Regions from separate parts of the Mus musculus genome. Here regions 1, 3 and 4 are each reported to be linked to region 2. The links are microRNA targets in miRTarBase. Many come from high-throughput screens and were not tested one by one. Region 2 holds a microRNA gene; each other region holds the end of a gene's coding sequence.

What was found. The annotated mature microRNA mmu-miR-761 reads GCAGCAGGGUGAAACUGACACA and lies in region 2 at 3,079-3,100, opposite strand. An mRNA with a match to its seed (bases 2 to 7 or 8) in the 3' UTR can be bound and repressed. Matches are read on the target gene's strand: a 7mer-m8 pairs with bases 2 to 8, a 7mer-A1 pairs with bases 2 to 7 and ends in A, and an 8mer does both.
Region 1: the mRNA of Pon2 is a reported target of mmu-miR-761. Seed matches in the 3' UTR shown: 7mer-A1 at 1,318-1,324 and 7mer-m8 at 1,471-1,477.
Region 3: the mRNA of Csnk1e is a reported target of mmu-miR-761. Seed matches in the 3' UTR shown: 7mer-A1 at 2,256-2,262.
Region 4: the mRNA of Msrb3 is a reported target of mmu-miR-761. Seed matches in the 3' UTR shown: 7mer-A1 at 4,636-4,642.

The regions. Positions count from the first base shown.
Region 1 is chr6:5,261,182-5,266,383 of GRCm38, reverse strand. It overlaps Pon2 (paraoxonase 2), which reads left to right. Exons shown (of 9, transcript NM_183308.3): 8 at 144-272; 9 at 905-1,764. The coding sequence ends at 1,063. Among named protein-coding and RNA genes, the nearest start is that of Pon3, 7.6 kb to the right of the region's middle.
Region 2 is chr4:109,015,769-109,020,768 of GRCm38, reverse strand. Mir761 (microRNA 761) reads right to left here and starts at 3,114; the gene lies at 3,039-3,114. It overlaps Nrd1 (nardilysin, N-arginine dibasic convertase, NRD convertase 1), which reads right to left. Exons shown (of 31, transcript NM_146150.3): 3 at 2,849-2,930; 4 at 1,658-1,811.
Region 3 is chr15:79,415,553-79,420,754 of GRCm38, reverse strand. Csnk1e (casein kinase 1, epsilon) reads left to right here. Exons shown (of 11, transcript NM_013767.6): 9 at 32-171; 10 at 787-850; 11 at 1,568-2,903. The coding sequence ends at 819. Among named protein-coding and RNA genes, the nearest start is that of Gm16059, 8.3 kb to the left of the region's middle.
Region 4 is chr10:120,779,311-120,784,512 of GRCm38, forward strand. It overlaps Msrb3 (methionine sulfoxide reductase B3), which reads right to left. Exons shown (of 7, transcript NM_177092.4): 7 at 1,790-4,928. The coding sequence ends at 4,758. Among named protein-coding and RNA genes, the nearest start is that of 4921513I03Rik, 16 kb to the left of the region's middle.

The sequences.
Region 1 (5,202 bases), not on the chromosome of region 2:
TTTAAACGATATTGGTGTCAGAAGGGCAGGTGCAGGGAGATGCATGTAATGGCCCCACACGCACCAAAGCAGGAAAGGCTTGCTCTAAATTACTTAATCAGGTTGCTTGCATCATTTAGATATTGACATGATTTCTTCCTAAGGTTCTGCAGTTGGGCACGCTGGTGGACAATTTATCTATTGATCCTTCCTCGGGCGACATCTGGGTCGGCTGTCACCCTAATGGACAGAGGCTCTTCGTGTACCACCCGAACCATCCTCCTGCATCAGAGGTTCTTATATTTTGAGTTTTTCCACCTTAATTGTTCAAGTCCTTTGCACTAATAATGGAATAAACTGTCACGGGGATGATTTGTTAGTTCTTTTAAACCAATAATACAATAAACCTGGGAGGTAGTTTTATAATTGCTTTAAGCCAATAATTGGCAGAATGTTACATTGCTCAAATGCTTTCAGAAAAGTAATCTTTTGATGTATTAAATTATAGTGGGAACTAGTCAAAAGTAATTTTTACAAAGACACAGGTCCTGTTCACTTTCATGTGGTATGCTGGCAATCTTAAAACGACCTTGTTTATTGTCAGCTCAGCACATGACATGAGCTTTGTGCCCAGTGAAATAGTGTCAAAGCGGGCACAGTGGTGGGAGCCCATTTCTATTAATGTTGAATTGCTGTAATCACACAAAATCCTGTGTTGGCATGGCTGACTAGTTGCTTTAAAAAGTCCGTTTTTTTTTGAATGTTGGAGGAAGTACTTTAATTTAAGCATTAAGGAGATTGGTAACTGCTGTTTGTAGCAGCATGCCTTCTTAATCATGTGTCATTGGTGAGCGCAAGGGATTATTGGTGCTTGAGTGGTATGGGTGTGTGGGTTCTTTATTAATATGTTGTATCTCCTGGGTAGGTCCTCCGCATTCAGAACATTCTATCCGAGAAGCCATCAGTGACAACGGTGTATATCAACAACGGGTCTGTCCTCCAGGGAAGTTCTGTGGCGACCATATATGATAGGAAACTTCTCGTAGGCACTTTATACCAGAAAGCCTTGTACTGTGAACTCTAAATTGTATTTTTGGCATGCAAGTGCACTAGGTTGTAACAAAATAATCTTTTGATTAAGGGCCAATTCTGAGGGAATTTAACCATCAGTACTGACCTAGTAATATACCACATTTGTAGCTCCTTTTATTTCAATAAGGAAAGGCCTTGCAATTCTGATGCGCTTTTAGCATCAAAAGAAAATGAACTATATTATTGGCTGTGTGTGTGTGTGTGTGTGTGTGTGTGTGTGTGTGTGTGTGTGTGTGTGTCTGTTTTCTGCTGATCCAGCGAGAAAGAAGAAAGCTGCTTTTCTATGAAGTGAATGCAGTTTGCACAGAGGGGCTTCCCCCTCCGTGCCTCCACCACGTAAGAGTCCACTGAAGCAGGGAGTGTGGTAAACAGGTCTGCGGCCTCGGTCTCCAGGCTGCGCCTGCTGGGCTTGTGCAGGACTACTGATAGATAACACTTGGATGTTTTCTACATCCAGCTTTGTTTACTGATTTACAAGGTAGGAGTGTATTCAAGACTAATCAAAATCCGGGGAGTTGTTTGTGTTTAATTCCCAAGGGAAATCCTCTGGAGAGGGTGAGGCGGGAAGTGACTCCTAGGGCATTCGGTTGGACAGGAATCAATGGCCATGTTAATTTCTCATGAAAGCTCTATGTAAAGGGGCTCTTTATTGGAAAAATAAAATAAAACAACCGAATACTGTAGCTCAACTTATTTGTTTGTTTGTTTATTCTTTCATTTGAAACAGAACCTCAGTATATACCTCTGACTGGCCTGGAACTTGCTCTAACCACAGAGGCCTCCCTACCTATGTCACAGTCAGCCTTCCAGTGTTCAGCTCTTAAGGTATCTTTCATAGGTTCTGTTCCTAAATACAATTCAGTTTTTGACACAAAGAGGCGATAAAGGCTTAGAGCTGGTGTCTTACTTCTTACCTGCTCAGTGAATAGAATTATGTCCAGAAGTGGTCAGATGTCTAGACCTGTCTGATTTGCAGCCACTACAGTAAGACAGGGTCAAGATGCCAAAATCACTGGAAGAACATTGAAGAACATTTCTTTCCACCCTGCATCCAAAAGCCTCCTTGGGTCCTGAAGAGAGACATTAATGTATTTCTTTCTGCGTCACTGTGTATTTTTCTAATTAAAATTTTATTGTAAAGGACTTCCCCATCAGTCATCTCTCAACCACCGTCTTCTCGAAGCCTTTTGTTTCATTTTCCCTCATCTTCCTCCTTCCCTTTAAGATGCCTGGATGTTAGTTATCAAATGTCCAGCAATTGAGAAGTGGTACCCTCATTATTTCACTTAATCTTAATTGCAGCCTGGCGGGAGTACGTGTCAATATTGTATTGTTGTTAACATTTCACAGCCGGTCAAGGTCACACACCTCCTAAGGGTGAATATCAATCTGTTTCTAATGCCAGACCCCGTGCCATTAGCAATTCCAGGAAGCCACTGCAATAGAGACAGTTCTTCATAGCTACCCTTTCCCTATGGTACATAGTGTGTTCTGGGGGTGTGTGTGGTGTGTGTGTGTTCATAGTTACCCTTTCCCTATGGTACATAGTGTGTTCTGGGGGTGTGTGTGGTGTGTGTGTGTTGAAGATACTAATTTGAGTTTTACATTTTGCTGTATAATTTAATGGATTTCAGATGGAAACTTCGGAAGTATTCTTAAGCCCGGGCTCCGGTTCATTTATATATTTACATATTTCTGTTACTTATTATTTTTGATTTTTCAGTTTATTCAGTTAAGAATGAATAGGGACTATATTTCAGGCCAGGGAATTAATGCTTCTTGCTGCTTCCATATCTAAGGAGAACATGTTAGGTCACAGATGAATAAGGCAGGATTAAATAGTGTTTACCTAAAGATACAATCCAAGAAGGGGATGGTTTCGTTTTAGAGGAAGATAACAATGGCTATCTAAAAAGACACATGCACAGGAAATGGCAGAGTACAATAGGTATCAAGTGAAGTTGCTTTCTGTTATTACATTCGTTCAGAATTTCCTTTGTGGAAAAGGGGGTATGAATTAATAAACACTTATTATTTTTGCTTATCTTATTATATGAATTAATAAACACTTATTGTATGAATTAATAAACATTATTATTGCTTATCTTAGGCAAGCAGGAGAGGTTTTTTAGTAAATCCTGACTTGGGGGTACTAATGGGTATGAGAGATTGTTTTTATCAACTGTAAATATAATGTGTGTTTATTTATGACGACCTTTTTACGATCAAATGCGGACAGAAAGGATTGGGTGATTAAGTCATCATTGCCCAAAACAACAGAAACCACAGATGGGACTTGGCACTCCTAAGGGATGGACTTGAGCGCTCTCTCTCTCTCTCTCTCTCTCTCTCTCTCTCTCTCTCTGCGTGTGTGTGTGTGTGTGTGTGTGTGTGTGTGTGTGTGTGTGTGTGTGTGTTTATATATACATGTGCCCACAGACAGCAGAGGTTAGGGAAAGACATTCAAGTGTCTTCCTCGATTGCTCTTCACTGTATTGCCTTAAGAGCTTTCTGAGTACTGGGGTCACAGGTTCCTGCAGTCACTCCCAGCTTTTAAGTGGGGTTGGAGATTTCAACTCAGAACCTCTTGCAAACACTCTGGCCCACCCAGCCATTTCTCCAGCCCTTAGTTTTCTTCCTCTTTCCTTTCATCAAACCTCGGCTGCTTTATGGTTCGTGAGTACTTCAGAGGGAACAGGAAAATCAAGTCATCTATGTGGTATTACTTTCACATTTCTTGTTTGTTTGTCTTGGCATGGGTTAAGCATTTCTGATAACTACTCTAAAGATGACCCTTCCGCTAGATTTTCATTTGCTCAATCAGTCCTGTCTTGAAACAAGCACCTGCTGAACACTGCACAAAAAAAGCAGTGGGGAAGTTATGGCCCCTCCCCCACCTCACCTGCTTTCCTATAGCTTCTTACACTTTTCATTACTGATACGATTTTAGGTAAGAATCTATCTGTACATGGGAGAAGAGGATGCATGTGTGTCTGTTCACATTCATACCCTCTTGCTTTTTGCTCTTAATTTTCAAAAGATTTCTTCCAATGTGTTTAAGTTTCACTCTCTTATTACAAGTGATTTTAAACACTCTTAGTTGGGGTGTGGGGTGGGGTGCACTCTTTACTTTCAGCACTCTGGAGTCAGAGGCAGGGGGCTTTCTGTGAGTTCCAGGCTAGTCAGGGATATACAATGAGACATTATCTGAATTAATCAATTATAAAATATCCTCTTAGATATATAAGGGGAGTTGATTGATGATTCATTGAATTTTCTGGTCTTTAGTTTTTCTTAAAGATGTAAGCCCCTTTGTCCATTGGTTGGGTGCAAATATCTGCCTCTGACTCTTACAGCTGCTTGTTGGGTCTGTCGGGGGCAGTCATGCTAGGTCCCTCTTTGTGAGCGCTCCTTAGCCTCAGTAATAGTGTCAGGCCTTAGAACTTACCCTTGAGCGGGACCCCACTTTGCACCTGTCTCTGAACCATTTTTTCCTCAGGCTCCTCTCCATTTCCATCCCTGCAGTTCTTTCAGACAGGAACAATTATGGGTCAAAGATGTGACTATGGGATGACAACTCCATCCCTCACTTGATGTCCTGCCTTCCTCCTGGACCCCTGATGTTGAATTAGGGAAGGTTGAAAGAAGTTGAGGAGAAGGGAGATCCTGTAGGAGGACCAGCAGTCTCAATTAATCTGGACCCCCAAGATCTCTCAAACACTGTACTACAAAGTAGACAGCATACACCAGCTGATATGAGGCCCCCAACACACATACAGTAGAGGACTTCCGGGTCTGTGTTCATTCAGAGATGATGCACCTAACCCTCAAGAGCCTGGAGGCCCCAGGGAGTTTAGAGGTCTGGTGGAGTGGGGGGGTGGGGGTATCCACGTGGAGATGGGGTGGGGTGGGGTGGGGTGGAGGTGTGGTATGTGGAGTAGTTGGAGAGTGGATGGGGCAGGGAGCAGGGAATGAATATGGAGTATAAATAATAAATTAAAAATAAAATAAAATTTAAAAAAACATTATGGGCCCTTTTCTTATGAATAGGAATTATTTTCTTTTAGGGTATTATTATATTCTAGTAGGATACTGTATACATGGAGATAAAATAACAACAACAGCAACAAC
Region 2 (5,000 bases):
GTTTACTGTGAGTGTGTGTGTGTCTGTGTCTGTGTGTGTGTGTCTGTGTCTGTGTGTTAATAAAGAATGGTCCTGGGGTTACCCCTGAGCCAGGTCTCCAGGGTCTTTTTATGTATACCATTTCCTTTATGTTCTTTGGTTTGTTTGTTTACTTATTTCTTAATCTTATTTGACAAAGTTTACCTAAATTGTGGCTTAAAAAATTAGCTATTTTGTTCACTTTTTAGTCTACAATCTATCTGGAACATTTTTGTGTATCTTTGAGTGGCAGAGTCAACTTTATTCCTATATCCATGGAACCTCAATTGTCTTGGCAGCATTCCGATAGAAAGCCCTTTTGTGTAAGTGTCCACCTTTATGCTATTTCTGTGACATTATTATTATTTATATGATCTATTTCTGTGGCTTATTATTCTATTTGTCTCTTTGCAAACACCACGTTATAACTATCACCAAATATAATAAGGTCACAAAGGCTGACACTTTCTTCAAAATTTCACAATTTTTGTTCTCACATTTAAGCCTGTAACCCCATTAGAGTTAAATTTTCTATACAGTTGAATAAAGAACTGTGGTTCATATCTTCGCACGTGGCTCTCCTATTGTTCTGGCAGAAAGCTAACCATCTTTTCTCTCCTACTTGGCTGTCTTGGCACCAGACTACTGACAGCAAGTGTAACGGTTTGTGTCTAGAATCTGGGTTATAGTCCACTGAGCAGTGTCTGTCTGTCCTTATGTCAGAACCACACTCCTGGGATTTCTACAGCTCTAAGTCTAGGGAAATGAGAGTCCAACTTGCTCTTAAATATAACTTGGGTTATTTTTGCTTTTTACTTTTCCCATATGAATTACGGTATCACTCACAGATGTAAAGGGACAACTAAAATTGTGAAGTGATTGGGACGAATCCATAAATCAGTTTGGAAATTGTTGTCATTCTTAACAAGAAGAAGTCCTCTATGCTCTCATTCTTAACAAGTCAGGCGCATGGCACAGCTTCTTCTGCCACTCTTTACTTATTATTTATTTTTTAACTTTCTACTATTACAAGTCTTTGACTTTGAGTTTATTCTGAAGCATTTTATTTTAGATGCCATTATTAAAGAAGCAATCTTTTTAATTTCACGTTTGGATTTTAATGAGGAGGAGCTGGGGAAAATGGCTCAATCAATAGAGTGATTGTTACATAACAATGAGACCTGGGTTCAATCCCCAGCACTACGTAAGAGCCTGGCACTGAGCTATACAACTCTAATGTCAACACGAGGGAAGCAGAGACAGGAAGAGCCTGGGAGCTTGCTGGCCAGGCTAGACACCTAGTGAGCACTAGGCTCCTGAGAGTTCAAACACAGGATGTGGAGCCAGTGTGGGTGCACATGCCTCGAATCCCAGCACTCAGGAGGCAAAGGCTGGTGATCTCTGTGAGTTTAAAGACCACCTTAATGTATATAGTGACTTTCAAGACAGCCATGCATATACAGTAAGACCTTGTCTTAAAAAGAAAGAAAAAGGGGGGGTGGGGGTGGAGGCAGGGAGAGGAAGGAAGAAGACATGTAACAGTTTGCTCCTTCTTCCCCAATATTCTGACGGTTTTAGAGAAATACAACAGAACGTGCCCAGTATTTCCATGTGTATAATGGCATTAAGTAATAGTTACCTATCCAGGGCTTCCTTGAAATACTTTCTCTGGACATCAAACTGAAAGACTGTGCGTTCACAATCAGTTGAGGCATTATCACTACCTCCATGTTTCTTGAGGAAGGCATCAAATCCATTCTCATCAGGGTATTTCAAACTACCCATGAATACCACTAAATGGGAAGAATAAAATGTCACACAACAGAAAGAAATAGACAGAAACTTTTATTATCAAAGATGAACTTCTCTATGCATAGAAGATAAAGTCACATGTTAACAATGGCTGTGTCTAACACTTTTACATTGATGCTGTGCATCATTCTACAATGCTCACATTATTTCTAATCCAAGAAAACCCAAATGTTTCATGTTTAAAAACAGGTGAGTAATTTGCTTATAAAAAGGGTAAAACTTAAACATAAGCTTATGTGCAGATTAACAACTACCATAAAAAGGTGTCAAGTAAGAGGTTCACTTTCAAATAACCTAGAAGCTAAAAATATTTTTAAAAAATGACTAATGCAGAAAGCCATCACATGTGTAAGCATTTGTAGCTGTGTAATGTCCACGTGTTTTCACTGAGACATACTCATAGCTAAACTTATGGTTCCTTTTGTGGCATATTAATCACACCTTTTGATTGTATTTTCAACACTCTGATGTCACTGGGTGCTATGAACATTGAAGCAGACTAGTCCAACCAGAGCTGGCCAGTTCCTAGAGAGCAACAACTGTATCTTGCTCTGTTCGCCATACTGTAGCCAACTAATGATGTCTACAGTAAAACAGGTTTGGGGCTGGAAAGATGGCTCAGTGGTTAAAGCACTTGCTGAACAAATGTGAGAAGAGGGTTCAGATCCCTAGAACCCATGTAAAGTTCATTTCAGAAGGCAGAGACAGAGGCTCCCCAGAGCAAGCTGGATAGGCAAACCAGGCATACTGGCAAGCTCTGGGTTTGACTGAGACCCTACCTCAATGAATAAAGTACAGATTGAGGAAGATACTGCTTTTCATTCAAATCCATAATATAAGTATACTTAGATGAAAAGTCTTTCCCTATAGTTATTCCTAAATCAGCATTTTTCTTCTTAGCTTTTTCTTTGTTTAAATGTACTTCAGTTAACCAATTACTAATCTTTGAAGTCAATTAATACAAATGTAAAGGGAAAAAGGAAACCACACCCAGGAATGATATTTTACAAGATCTTACTGTGCTCCAAAAAGTGTGCCAGCCCAGGCAGGTCATCTGGATCAGCAAAGCTCCCAACTCCAACACACAGAGCCGCTGCAGACTGGGGTAAGTAGAACACATACAAACAGTGGCGTCAATCCTAAAGCAGTACCAGCACCTCAAGGATTCACTTGGAGAAGCTTGCCAACAGAAAGAACAGAACTCTCCCTGGGAGTCAGGAGGAGCAGCAAAGTGAAACTCACCAGCACTGTGTCAGTTTCACCCTGCTGCTCCTCCACTTGCCATCCTGCCAAATGCTCAACAGGTGCAGACCTGAGGGAGAAAGCAGAAACAGAAACAAGGCAGAGGCCGGCCTCCCGGGCCTCCCGGCAGGCCGCAGTTCACGCTGCTGATTCAGGACTCTGAACCACGCTGTGCCTGAGTTACTAGGCTTTGGAATTCTGCAGAACTAACACATCTGGGTAGGATGAAGGGCTCTAAGCAATTTAAAATGTTTACGCTGAGTAACTCAGTTACAAGACACTCAAGACTTCTCAGTGTGCTACTCAGAAAGTTTAATACTAATATGGGGTGGGGATGGGGGTAAGATAACCATTTAGGAAAATATTTAATAAAATAGTAAGTAAATGGTTAAAAGAGAAAACTTGCTATTAAAAAGCTACAGCAATAGGATTTAAGAGGCTCTTTAGTTCTTCCTTTTGCATTGAACACACACATATAAATCATGTATTACTTATCAATGTGCATTTGCCAAATTCCTTGGGAAAATTCATTTTTAACAAAAATAGATGGCCAAGATATACACAAAATTCTGTTTTTAATGACTAACACATACTATCATCATTAGTTAAAATTTTGGGGTTTTTTTTTTTAAGTAAACGAAATAGTAAATTTGAAAACAGGAAAGTATATATTAACTTTTCCAACTTTGTATTAATTTTCAGAACTAGTGCATTTGTGAAGCACTGTTTGATAAGGTTGTCCTTATAACATAGCATGCACCTTGGGTTTCTAAAAGAGCCAAACAGCCTCACTTGATACTTCAAGTCCCATTTTTGAAGACTTAGCACATAAGCTCATTTAAAACATGGAAGAATAGCCACTTCTTCAAGCACAGTCTAACCTGTTCTGTGACATTTAATAGATGCCTAACCTGCTTTCAGCTCCAACTACCCCATAAAGATTTCTTGTCTCGACCAGCAGGGTTGAAGACATTTTTGAATAAGATGACTTAAACCACAGTCTATCAGTCAGCTTTGACCACAGCAAAAACAGGTTCTGCGATTGCTAGAAAAGAAATTCATACTTGAGGATTTTCTACCCAAGAATTTTATACTTGAGAACTGAGTTATAAAACTCAAAATTATGAACAAATCATAATTCAAATATATCATACTTAAATTTCAATCTTGTTAACTTATTAACTTTTCAGATCAAGAAAAACTTCTTTTCAAAGAACAGAAACATAATTTAAAAAATGTTCTAGGAAAGTAATTAACTTCTCCAAAAGCTAACATTTTTTTTCCCATTTCATTTCTTAATGAGAATTATTTACCTTAAATAAGGCTCACATTTCTCAAATAAAAATTAAAGCCTAAACATTCCTCAGAGCCAATGCGATTCTGAAGCCACCTCTCACCTACACTAACTTCTTCACTTTCCCTTCCAGATGCTTACGTGCCTCACGTACACACTAAGTAGAAACCATTTCTTACTCTTAAAAGCATGGAATCTTTTCTTCCACTAGGATACCTACTGCTTCACAGCCAAAATGATTTGGTCTCTTCACACCTAATTGCTTTATCAAAAGAAGTCCATGACACAGGAAAACTTGCAGTTTTTTATACAGAGAAAGACAGATATAGAAACTTAGAGGTAAGAATCTAAGATTTAATAATACTGTCATTTTGGGAGCTAAGGTAGAGCTCACAATTGTGTGACCTTAAAGGTGGGTGTGGAAGAAAGAAAGCCAGGCAGCATAAGATCCCCCAGAAGTCAGGGGCAGACCTAGAGCTAGAACTCAGGTGCATCTTAGGATGTCTGTGATTTCTTAATCCATTAACAATTAGAAATAATCCTATTAATTCCCAATTTGCCTATAAAAAAAAAACTTTAGAATTGTCTACCAAGTGGCATATATACAAATTTATTCAGTATCTTAAGTTTCACC
Region 3 (5,202 bases), not on the chromosome of region 2:
ACTGAAGGTGGCTCCCCTCCCCTCCTTCCAGGCAATACTTCTCCCAGAGCGATCTCACGGGCCGACCGAGAGAGGAAGGTGAGCATGAGACTCCACAGAGGTGCCCCTGCCAATGTCTCCTCCTCAGACCTCACTGGGCGGCAAGAGGTCTCCCGGCTTGCAGCCTCACAGGTGAGTCAACTCTTCCAGGCCTCTCGGGGGCACAGTGGACCTAGATATTCTTGGTGTGTTGGTCTGACCCTGTGGCACCTTTCCTCCCCTGCCTCTGATCACCCTGAAGCTAATTAGCCCTCTTGTGTTGAGCAAAGCGAAGGGAGAAACTGAGGCTCAAAGAAATAACAGCCCAGTAAGCGCTAGCACTCACTGCGGTCTGGGTGGGCGACTCTCGGCAGTTCCCATCAGCACTGACAACAGCAAGGGATGAAGCGGGAGGAGGGAGAGGTCTTGTCAGGTCATCCCACTTAATGGCCATATTCGGACTCAGAATGTAGAGGAAGGGGCTTGGCAAAGGTAGATCTACCCGATCCTGCCTGTGGGAGACGAACTTCCTTGGACTCAGACCTGGAATTGAGCCAGCCTTGGCCTCCAAGCGGGGGTGTTTCGGCTCTAGAGCCAGGGGCAGCCTCAGACCTGAGATCACACAGCTGCCCTCAGACTGAGCAGCCTGCTGTGAGGGATGGAGCTCCATTGGGGGGGGGGGTGTATGAGACTTGGGGAATCATTGTGGCCACCTGCTTAAGGACCTGCCTTGAGACTCCCCCATATTTCTCTGTCCCCCTCTTGAAGACAAGCGTGCCATTTGACCATCTTGGGAAATGAGGAGAGCGACCACAGACCAGTGTTTGCTTAGGTGAGTACTGGTGTCTACTGAGGGCCCTGGAGGGCAGGGGAACGTGACGCAGAAGCAGGAACCTCCCCTTCTAATCTCTTCAAGGAAGCTTTAGATTTTAAAATCTGCCATCCAAGCTATCACTTCTCACAAGCAGTCCTGAATCGGTACACAGGGACACTTCGGGGAAACCCTTTTTCTGTCCTTGGGTCTTCTGTCCCCTTGATTCCTAGGAAAGACCAGGCTCCTGGCCACATGTGGGTTTCCAGGGCTTTAGCCTACCTCCTCCTTTTGGCTGTTATATAAGATGATATGTGCAGAGCCAAAAAGGAACCAGAGTGTAGAAGGGCCTTCATGTGTTTATACACAGGAAAGACCCTCTGGCCAAAGCTAGTTCGGGGTGGACTGCCTGCGGCTGTCTGTGGCTTGGGGGGCAGTACCTAGAAGCCTGGTTTGGGAAAGGGGCCACAGGCTCTTCTGGTAGTATTGGCTGGGGACCCAAGCTCCCTGCAGAACATGGATATTAGCAGGCAGTGTCCCACCCATTGAGACGTGCAGCTTCACACCGTGGTTTCTTAAGCAGACTTCACACTGCAGAAATTCTCCCAACAAATGGCTAATCAGTTCAGATAGACATGGGGCTGGGATGGCCGCTCAGCCCACCAGAGCAGAGGAGCGCATTGGCTGGGTAAACCGAGGCAGCCAGGCACCTGACCGTTGTCTTTTCTTCCCTCCTAGTGTCTTCACTGCATTTTCTTTAAAAAAAAAAAAATTAAATACAAATAAGAGAAAGGACAGAAAGAAAGAACAGTTCACATGAACAAAAAAGAGAAAAACAAACAAACCACAAAACCCACAACCCAGCACAAAGTCGACAATGGATTTTGTTTCTTTGATTTATTTTGCCAATGGCAAAAAGACAAGACCTCGTTAGCACTGAGGATTCTTGTTCCCTTGCCTTGCCCACTGCTCCCGACCTGAAGGCTGCCAACACTCCTCTAAGGACACTGGGTCACATGCCAGCCACCTGTTCTCGCCACCGGCCACCACGTGCCGGGCCGCCATCGGAGGTGCCTGAAGAGCTTGTGTCAGGGAGCGGTTTGGCCAGTCAGAGACAAGTCCCAAGAGATTTCATGGAGCCTTGGATGACACACACGCCATCAGCCCTTGGGTGATGACAGTGACCAGTGTTGTATGGGGCTTTCCCAGAATCCCCTTCCCTGAGCATCCTGGTCTCCCCCACACACACCTGTCACCTCTCTACAGAGACCCTGAGGGTGCGGTGAGATGGAGGCCATGATGCCTTGTGTGACTGTGAGTGTGTGTGTGTATGCATGAGAGAGAGAGAGAGAGAGAGAGAGAGAGAGAGAGAGAGACTGAGAGAGAGAGAGAGACTGAGAGACTGACTGAGAGACTGACTGAGAGACTGCTGACTTGTATTTTTCAGAGCTGCAGGTGGCCTGCCACGCCTGCCTGGCCAAGTTTCTGTTCCCCTCCTCCTAAAGTCAAGGTGGGGTGGACAATGACTTCCACATCCCTCAGGGCATAGAGTCCTTGCCACCACCTGTCCCCAGATGCCAGTGTGTGGCACCCCTCCCCCCCCAACTTCCATTCCTGATCTTAGGCAAGTTCTTGGAGTCTGCTCCCAGATGGCATCGGCTCTGAGATACCGGTTACTTCCCTGGTCCTGAGAGTCACCTGTGGTCACCCCTCTTCCCAGGCCTGACTTCTGAGTAGGACCCTGGGTCAGGGCTAAGTGTTGAATTTACCCTTCCTGGTTAACACCTGTTTTGTTGGTTTTTTTATTATTATTATTATTATTATTTTTGTTTGTTTTCTCAGTGTGTGTATTTCCTAATTTATTTACCTCTTTTTTTCCCCTTTCTTTCTTTTTTTTAATTAAAGAGCAAAACTTTTTATTACTTTGTAATTTAAAAAACTGAAAAAAAAATTACTGAAGAACTTTGGGGGGAATTTTGTACTTTTTTCCTGTGTAAATATTGGACTTTTTTGAGCTTTATTGTGGTTGTTAATTTGAAGTAATAAAGTAGAAAAGGACAAAGTGATATAGATACCCTCTGTCTGCCTCTTTGCTCTTGGGGTTTCTCATCGCTGACTTACCAGGGACTGTACATCACAAAGAAGCCATCAGCCTCAGGCAGCTGTGGCTGGGGCCATTAGGACCTGTCCTGTGGTATATCAAGCCTTCAGAGCTCAAGGTACACAGTGTAGCCTCTGGCCTCCGGGTGAGGAGAGCGCTCTTTAGGTGGTGCGGGGCCTAGGTCTACACAGTGAAAGATGAGGCTTCCCCCAAGACATCATGTTATTTATAGAAGAGTTCTGAGGGTTTGGGACACTTGCTTCCCTGCCAGAAACTGGCCTTGGGTTACAGCCTGGGTCAAGCCATCAGACACCTCTCCTCTGGTTGACCATGCAGTTCTGTGAGGTGATCTCTGCTCACCCTGGTGAGCAGGACCCTGGTCCCTTGGCCAGATCCTGATGTGGTAGTCTCCACTCTCACCCACTTTGTCTCACTGCTTGTAAACCATGCTTCCAAGTCTCAACACCGGCCACTGCGATAGCTTTCATCCCGGGGAGAGCAAAACTTGTGACAGATGGTGTTTTAATTAGGATTTTACTGCTGTGAACAGACACCATGACCACCGCAAGTCTTATAAATGATAACATTTGATTGGGGCTGGCTGACAGATTCAGAGGTTCAGTCCATTATCATCAAAGCAGGAACATGGCAGCATCCAGGCAGGCAGGAGCTGAGAGTTCTGTATCGTCATCTGAAGGCTGCTAGCAGAACTCTGACTTCCAGGCAGGTAGAATGAGGGTCTTAAAGCCCACACCCTGACACCTACTCCAACAGGGACACACCTTCTAATAGTGCCACTCCCTGGGATAAGCATATATAAACCATCACAGGTAGCAACTCCTGGAGCTTCCCTCAGGTCTTTCAGAGTCCTGGGCTTAGCTCAAAGGCCTTCCCAGTGTCAATATTTAAAGATTCTATGACCTCCACAACCTGGCCTGGAAGTTGCTGTCCTGCCAGCCCCTGTCACACAAGTGTCAGGGATCGGGGTTGTAACACAGACTTTAGAGCGTGTCACCCGAAGCCAGGTAATTATGGTTAGATTGAGTGGCAGGGGAGAGCTGGTAGACAGGGTTTGCCCTTCAAAATGCGTTTTATTCATTGCCTTTGCTGGCTGAAGTGCTGGAAAGATGCGGCCCCACCCGTCCCTGCCCAGGAAGTAAGAAGCTACAACGAAGCTCTGAAAAGATAACACAGTTGACCTGTTTCCCTTGTACTTTGTCTTACAGCGGGAACTGTGGAATGCATTTTGTTTTAAGGAGAGGTGGTGCTTTGAGACAAGGTCTCACGTAGCCCAGGCTGGTCCCTAATTCAATAGCAAGCTGAGAGTGGCCTCGAACTCCTCACCTCCTCCCTATTTCTCAAGTGATCACAGGCATATGCCACCATGCCTGGCTCAAAAATCATAGTTCTTAATGACAGTAATGTGTAGTTTTGCTATTTCCTGAGCACAGTTAAGATTCAAAATGGAAAGCCGGGCGTGGTGGCGCATGCCTTTAATCCCAGCACTTGGGAGGCAGAGGCAGGGGGATTTCTGAGTTCAAGGCCAGCCTAGCCTGGTCTACAAAGTGAGTTCCAGGACAACCAGGGCTATACAGAGAAGCCCTGTCTTGACCCTGATGCCCTCTTCTGATGTGTCTAAAGCTTCAATATACTTACATGTAATAATAAATCTTTTTAAGAAAAAGATTTAAGCCAGGCGTGGTGGCGCACGCCTTTAATCCCAGCACTCGGGAGGCAGAGGCAGGCAGATTTCTGAGTTCGAGGCCAGCCTGGTCTACAAAGTGAGTGCCAGGACAGCCAGGGCTACACAGAGAAACCCTGTCTCGAAAAACCCAAAAAAAAAAAAAAAAAAAAAAAAAAAACCAAAAAGAAAAAGATTTAAAACAGGACAGGGTAGTGGGGGGAGGAAGTTCAGAGAGTAAAGGTACCTGTCACCAGACTGTCACCTGAGTTCAATTCCCAAGCATACCCAAGCGGATGTAGAAGGAGAGAACCCAGTCTTGAACTCTTAAAAGTTGTCTGTGCCATGTCATGCTCTCGCTCTCTCTCTGACACAAACGTCACAAACATTAGAAATTTAAAGATCTCAAAACACCAAACTTTTAATATTACTGTTACCAAGTCGGACTGTGGTGGCACACGCCTTTAATCCCAGCACCGGGGAGGCAGAGGCAGGCAGATTTCTGAGTTTGAGGCCAGCCTGGTCTACAGAGTGAGTTCCAGGACAGCCAGGGCTACAGAGAGAAACCCTGTCTCGAAAAACCAAAAAATA
Region 4 (5,202 bases), not on the chromosome of region 2:
TCCACTTGGGGGCGGGGGTGGGGGTGGGGGGGAGAGACCATTTCCAACTGCCAGGTGTCTGTGACTTTGACTCACAATCGTTCCAGACTTTTCCATGGTCACATGATAACCTTTCTGGTATTTCAGGTTGGGAGGCCTCACAGCTGCTTGATCTACACCAAGTAGTAGATGGTAGTCATTGTCAAGCTGTTGTTTCTCAAGGTCAGCCTAGGACAAGACCAGCATCTGGATGAGAAAGGACAGAGTTCTTGTCAGAAAATTCTTTGGTAGCACGTGGTACATCTTCAAGCCCCTTGTTAAAATGGTGGACTATCAATCCACTTTGATGAATTCAAGAACCAATGAATAAGGATGCCTTTGAGACTGCCCCGTGAACAACTTGTAAATTCAAACTTTGTTGGATACTAGTATTGTCCAAAAGTCACTTTACTACTGAAACATGGGAAATGTTAAAAGTTTCTATAGATGATGAGATAGATGTACATGTTATATGTGGAAGTTTGAATGAGAATGGCTCCCAAAGACTCATATATTTGAATGCTTGTTTCTCAGTTGGTGGACTGTTCAGGAAGGAAGGAATTAGGAGGTATGTCCTTGTTTGAGGAGGTGTGTTCTGCAGGTGGGCTTTGAGGTTTCAAAAAAGGCCCACACTTGCACCTCCACCCATGACTGGCTGCTTGCAGTCAGGAGGTAGATAGTAACTATGGCTCTAGTTGAATGCCTGCCTGCCATCATGCTTTCTGCCATGCTGATCATGGACTAAACTTCAGAAAATGTAAGCAAGCCCCCAATTAAATTATTTCTTTTATAAGATGCATTGGTCTTAGTGTTTCTTCACAGCGATAGAATAGTAAGTAAGACTTTATATGTGTGTATATATGTGTGTGCGTTTCATAAAAGGCCCTGCATGAAACTGCTGGTCAGTACTTGGGATCCCAGGAATGTGACTTAGAGAACCAACTGAAAAAACGAGTCTCCAGCAGTCCTGCTTCTCCCTCAAATAAATAGGTCAGTAAAACCCAAACAATTCAACCACAGATAGTATCATACCAAGATCCAACTGTAGATGAAGTTTTATTTTGTTTTGGATTTCAAAGACAGGGTCTCAACTGTAGCCTAGGCTACATGGGACCTCACTAGGTAGTCCAGGGTGGCCTTAAACTCACAGTGACTCTCCTGGCTCAGTGTCTCAAATTCTGGGATTACAGAATGAGCCACTGTGCCCCATTTATAGAGATGAGTTTTAAGGTTTAAAAAAAAGGGGGGGAGAGGAACCAGGAAGGGAGATAATACCTGAAAAGTAAATAAATAAGATAACCAATAAAAAATGTGACTTGTTATTTTAAAAAGTAATGAGCAGTGGCAATCTCTATGTCTCTTTCTCTAGAGACCAACCCTTGACGTTTGTGTAAGTTTCACACCAGACTTTTTAGCAGAGCCTAGGCACCAACCACGTCACAGGCCTGCAGTCTCACACCTGCAGTTACAGTGAGAATCTCTGAAGCATAGTTTTAGCACAACACACACACAGGAACTGTTGAAGATTCTGCTGTGGTGAGGTGGCGACTGAAGAAGTGTCCCTGTCCTCCTGTCCTTTGGTCTGGAGGAGTCTCAGAGGCCCTTTCATTACACGGGATGTCCAAGTTCCAAAGGCTAGAGCAAAGGAGAGCCTCCTTGGGCACTAAGGACAGGCCAGCTCTGTAGGGGAAGTCGCTCTACACTGTCTGTTTGTGGTGGGAAGCCACGCTAGAGAGCACGGTTGGTCTTTAGGAAGCAGAGAAGAGAGACATTTTTATAAAGAAACTTTATTACCGAATTTCTGTATACAACAAATATCGAAAAAGGCTTCTCAATGAAGGTTTCTTGTCACTTTTCAAAAGTTTTAAACTATCAGAAGAAAAGTTATTAAAAAGCTTTCTAGATCAAGCATCATACACACCCCCAGCACATGGTACTAATTCTCATTGGTATTTTTTTCTGTATTGAAAGCAAGACATTTTAAACAACATGGAGAGTCTTTGTTCCAACAGCTACGTCATTTGCATTAAGATTTTACATATATAAAAGAAGTGAAGAGTTTAAATACTCAGAAATACATTGGATGTTGCTGCTTCCTTCCGATCTGTTCTGTGCACTCATAGGGACGTGGTTCCTGCCTACTAGCCCATCTCTGCATGGCCCAACGGTGCAGTCAGAGCTGGGGTGTTGACAAGGAAGACCGTGCAACCTCCTGTGTTAAATGGCAGAATTCCCACAGATCACATACACCTCACCACCTCAGCTCACTGAGCTCCATATCCTGCGAAAGTAAATCTAGTCCTTGACAGCTGACATTAGCGCTCCCTGACATTTTAGCAATATATTTCTTTAACATAAGACAGAAATATACCAAAATTTGATGCCACTTAAGCCCCCCAAAAAGAAATCTGGAATTAAATTGTATGTACTCATTTTCTTTCTTTTTCCTTTTTTTATTTCAATGGATGATATATATATATATATACACACATATATATATATAGGATTATATATATATATATATATATATATATATATATAGGATTATATATATAAGTTGGTGCTGGAAAAAGATGGCTTTTGTTACAAAACAAAACAGTAAAAGTTAAAGGGAAACAAAATTTTCGTTATTGGTGTGTGTGTGTGTGTGTGTGTGTGTGTGGTTAGTACTATAGTATGAGAAAAATGAAGGAAGAGTAAAACAACCTAGCATCTCTGTGGAGTGAGAACCTCCTTATTTATCTTCTTTGTCTACTCCAACACTCTGGCTTATATCCAAGGGACCCTGGGAAGGCCACCACACAGATGGGAGTGGGCAGAAAGGGCTGTGTGTGTCTCCGAAGGATGGATGCCAAGCTGTGACAATATCCCGTGAGACCCACGTCTGTCCTTAGCCACCCTACATGGAATCCTTCGAGATGATGTGAAAACTTTATGGAAGTCTGGAAGCCTCACCCGGGACTCTCCCCATGTTTCTAGAGAAGAATGAAGCCCGGGGTGTGCAGAGTAGCCCTGAGCTTGGGGTAAACATCTGGAGCTGGGGGGACCCCAGTGCTTAGGTAATTTTCCTGTGTGTTCCAAGTTAAAAGCACAGACGTCTCTAGAACTGGGTGATACTGAAGACTCGGCAGGATGGCAGGACCTTCAGGAGGTACCTGAGAAAGGCAGAGCTGCTGGATATGGGTAGTCTCAGCTTGCTTGCCCCGGCTTTTATTGCTTCCCACTGTGTCTGCAACTGTCACTCGCCTGTTCTCATCATCATTACTGAGTACGAGGGGCAGATGCCAGTCTTCCTCAAAAAATTTAGAAGTCTAAGCGTCTTTTAAAGCCACATTTCAGGATTAGCATTCAAAAACCACAACGCTCACTACTGAGACACCTGCCATATTGCTACAAGATAAAGGTCTGGCTTTCGGCTGTTTCCATACCAACCAGCCAAGTGCACCTCTGCTTCTTCCATTGCAAATTTGGCCTGCTCTGTGCAATTACAACCGGATCAGTGTGATTTTAAAATACTGATCTTATTAATTGTACAGCAATATAGTAATGTTGCCCTGAGAGTATCAATATATTTTATAAAGATATGAGTCCTATTGTGTACACGAAGATATAGGCACAATGGGGCTAAATGGCTTGTCCCTTGTACACACAGTGAAGTGTGGACCTTGGGCCTGACTATTCTGTCTTAATCCCCGACATCCTTGCTCCGACCTTCTGATGCTATGTGAAAGTCTGGTTTAGGTGCAGTACCTGTGAGATCCTGTTGGCCTTTTTGCACAGCATGGGATTATTTAGTGCTCAAGACTTCATACTAGGTCTTCTCTGATCTCTCTCTTTCCTACTGATGAAGTGTGTTGTCCCTAATATTTTATTTTGCACGGGGGAAATCTTCTAAAATGCTCGTCCAGATGGAGTTCACATGAGGCATGCAGAGAAAGGCTTATGCAGAGGCAATGGGCAAGCATTCTTCTTTGTGAACTTTGGACAAAAAAAAAAAAAAAATGGAGCCTAGTATTTTACACTTGTCTTACATTCTGCTGTTTTCAGTGGAAAATATAAAATAAAGACCTGCCCAGAGGTAATGTTTTGCATCTCTGCGGCAACCTTCCCTGAGTCCTCTCACATCTGGCAACAATGTAACATAAGGAACGACTTCAGACCTTCACACCCTTCGAGTGAGAAAAAACAACCTTAGCTCAGACTTTCCGTGCAGCCTAGCAATCTAACGCAGCGCTCCATCGTTATCGCAGCCTAGCAATCTAACACAACACTCCATCTTTATCGCAAAGGCCACATGTCTAGATGCTCTGTCCTTGCCAGTTCTCCTCTCTGCTGCTGAGCACCAGCTCTATGATGTCACTACACAACCTCCACCTCTTAATCAAAAGGAGGGTACCTACAAGGACAAAACTTGAAGGAAGGTATGCATTGGAAGAAAATGATGCCAAGGCTACATAGAAGCTTACCAAGAAGCTCCACAAAGCCATCTCCGTTTGCAAGAGCTACACACAGTTCTGGACCTAGTCAACAGCAAAATACATGGATGGGCAGAACTGCCATCTAGACGAGAGAGAGAGAAAGAGAGAGAGAGAGAGAGAGAGAGAGAGAGAAACATTTTCAGCAGCATAAACTGCCCTTATAGCTTCTGAAAAAATAGCTCTGTTAAGATAAACCACTTTTTGGTTTTTTTCAATCAGTTGTGCATTAAGAACACTTTGTTTTCACCGCTACCCCTGATTTTACAGCTCAGCTCTGTCTGCTGCTGCTGGGCTGCCGCTCTCTTTGATGCCGCTTCCTTCTGCCTCACTGCTGTCTGCAGGAGTGAAGGACAAGGATGCTGAGTTGATGCAGTATCTTTTGCCGGTCGGACGAGGTCCATCGTCAAAAATGTGCCCGAGATGAGCACCACACTGTAAGAGAAAAAGGATGCTTAAGGCACACATGCACCAAGTGGGCTTTGAGGGGAGTGTGTGGGAAGTCGTTGGAGTGGCTGGCTGGCTTGGGGAGGAATAGAATAATGAAAAGCATCCTGAACCATTTCTAATCTGCCTGTCAATAGCTGAAGAGATGGCTCCAGACAGACTTTGTACCACATGCTGAGAATAAAAAACACTCGAATTGTGCATATCAGACATCATTTAAGAGCCACTGTATGTTTTGATCTGTGAACTCTCTCAGTCAGCT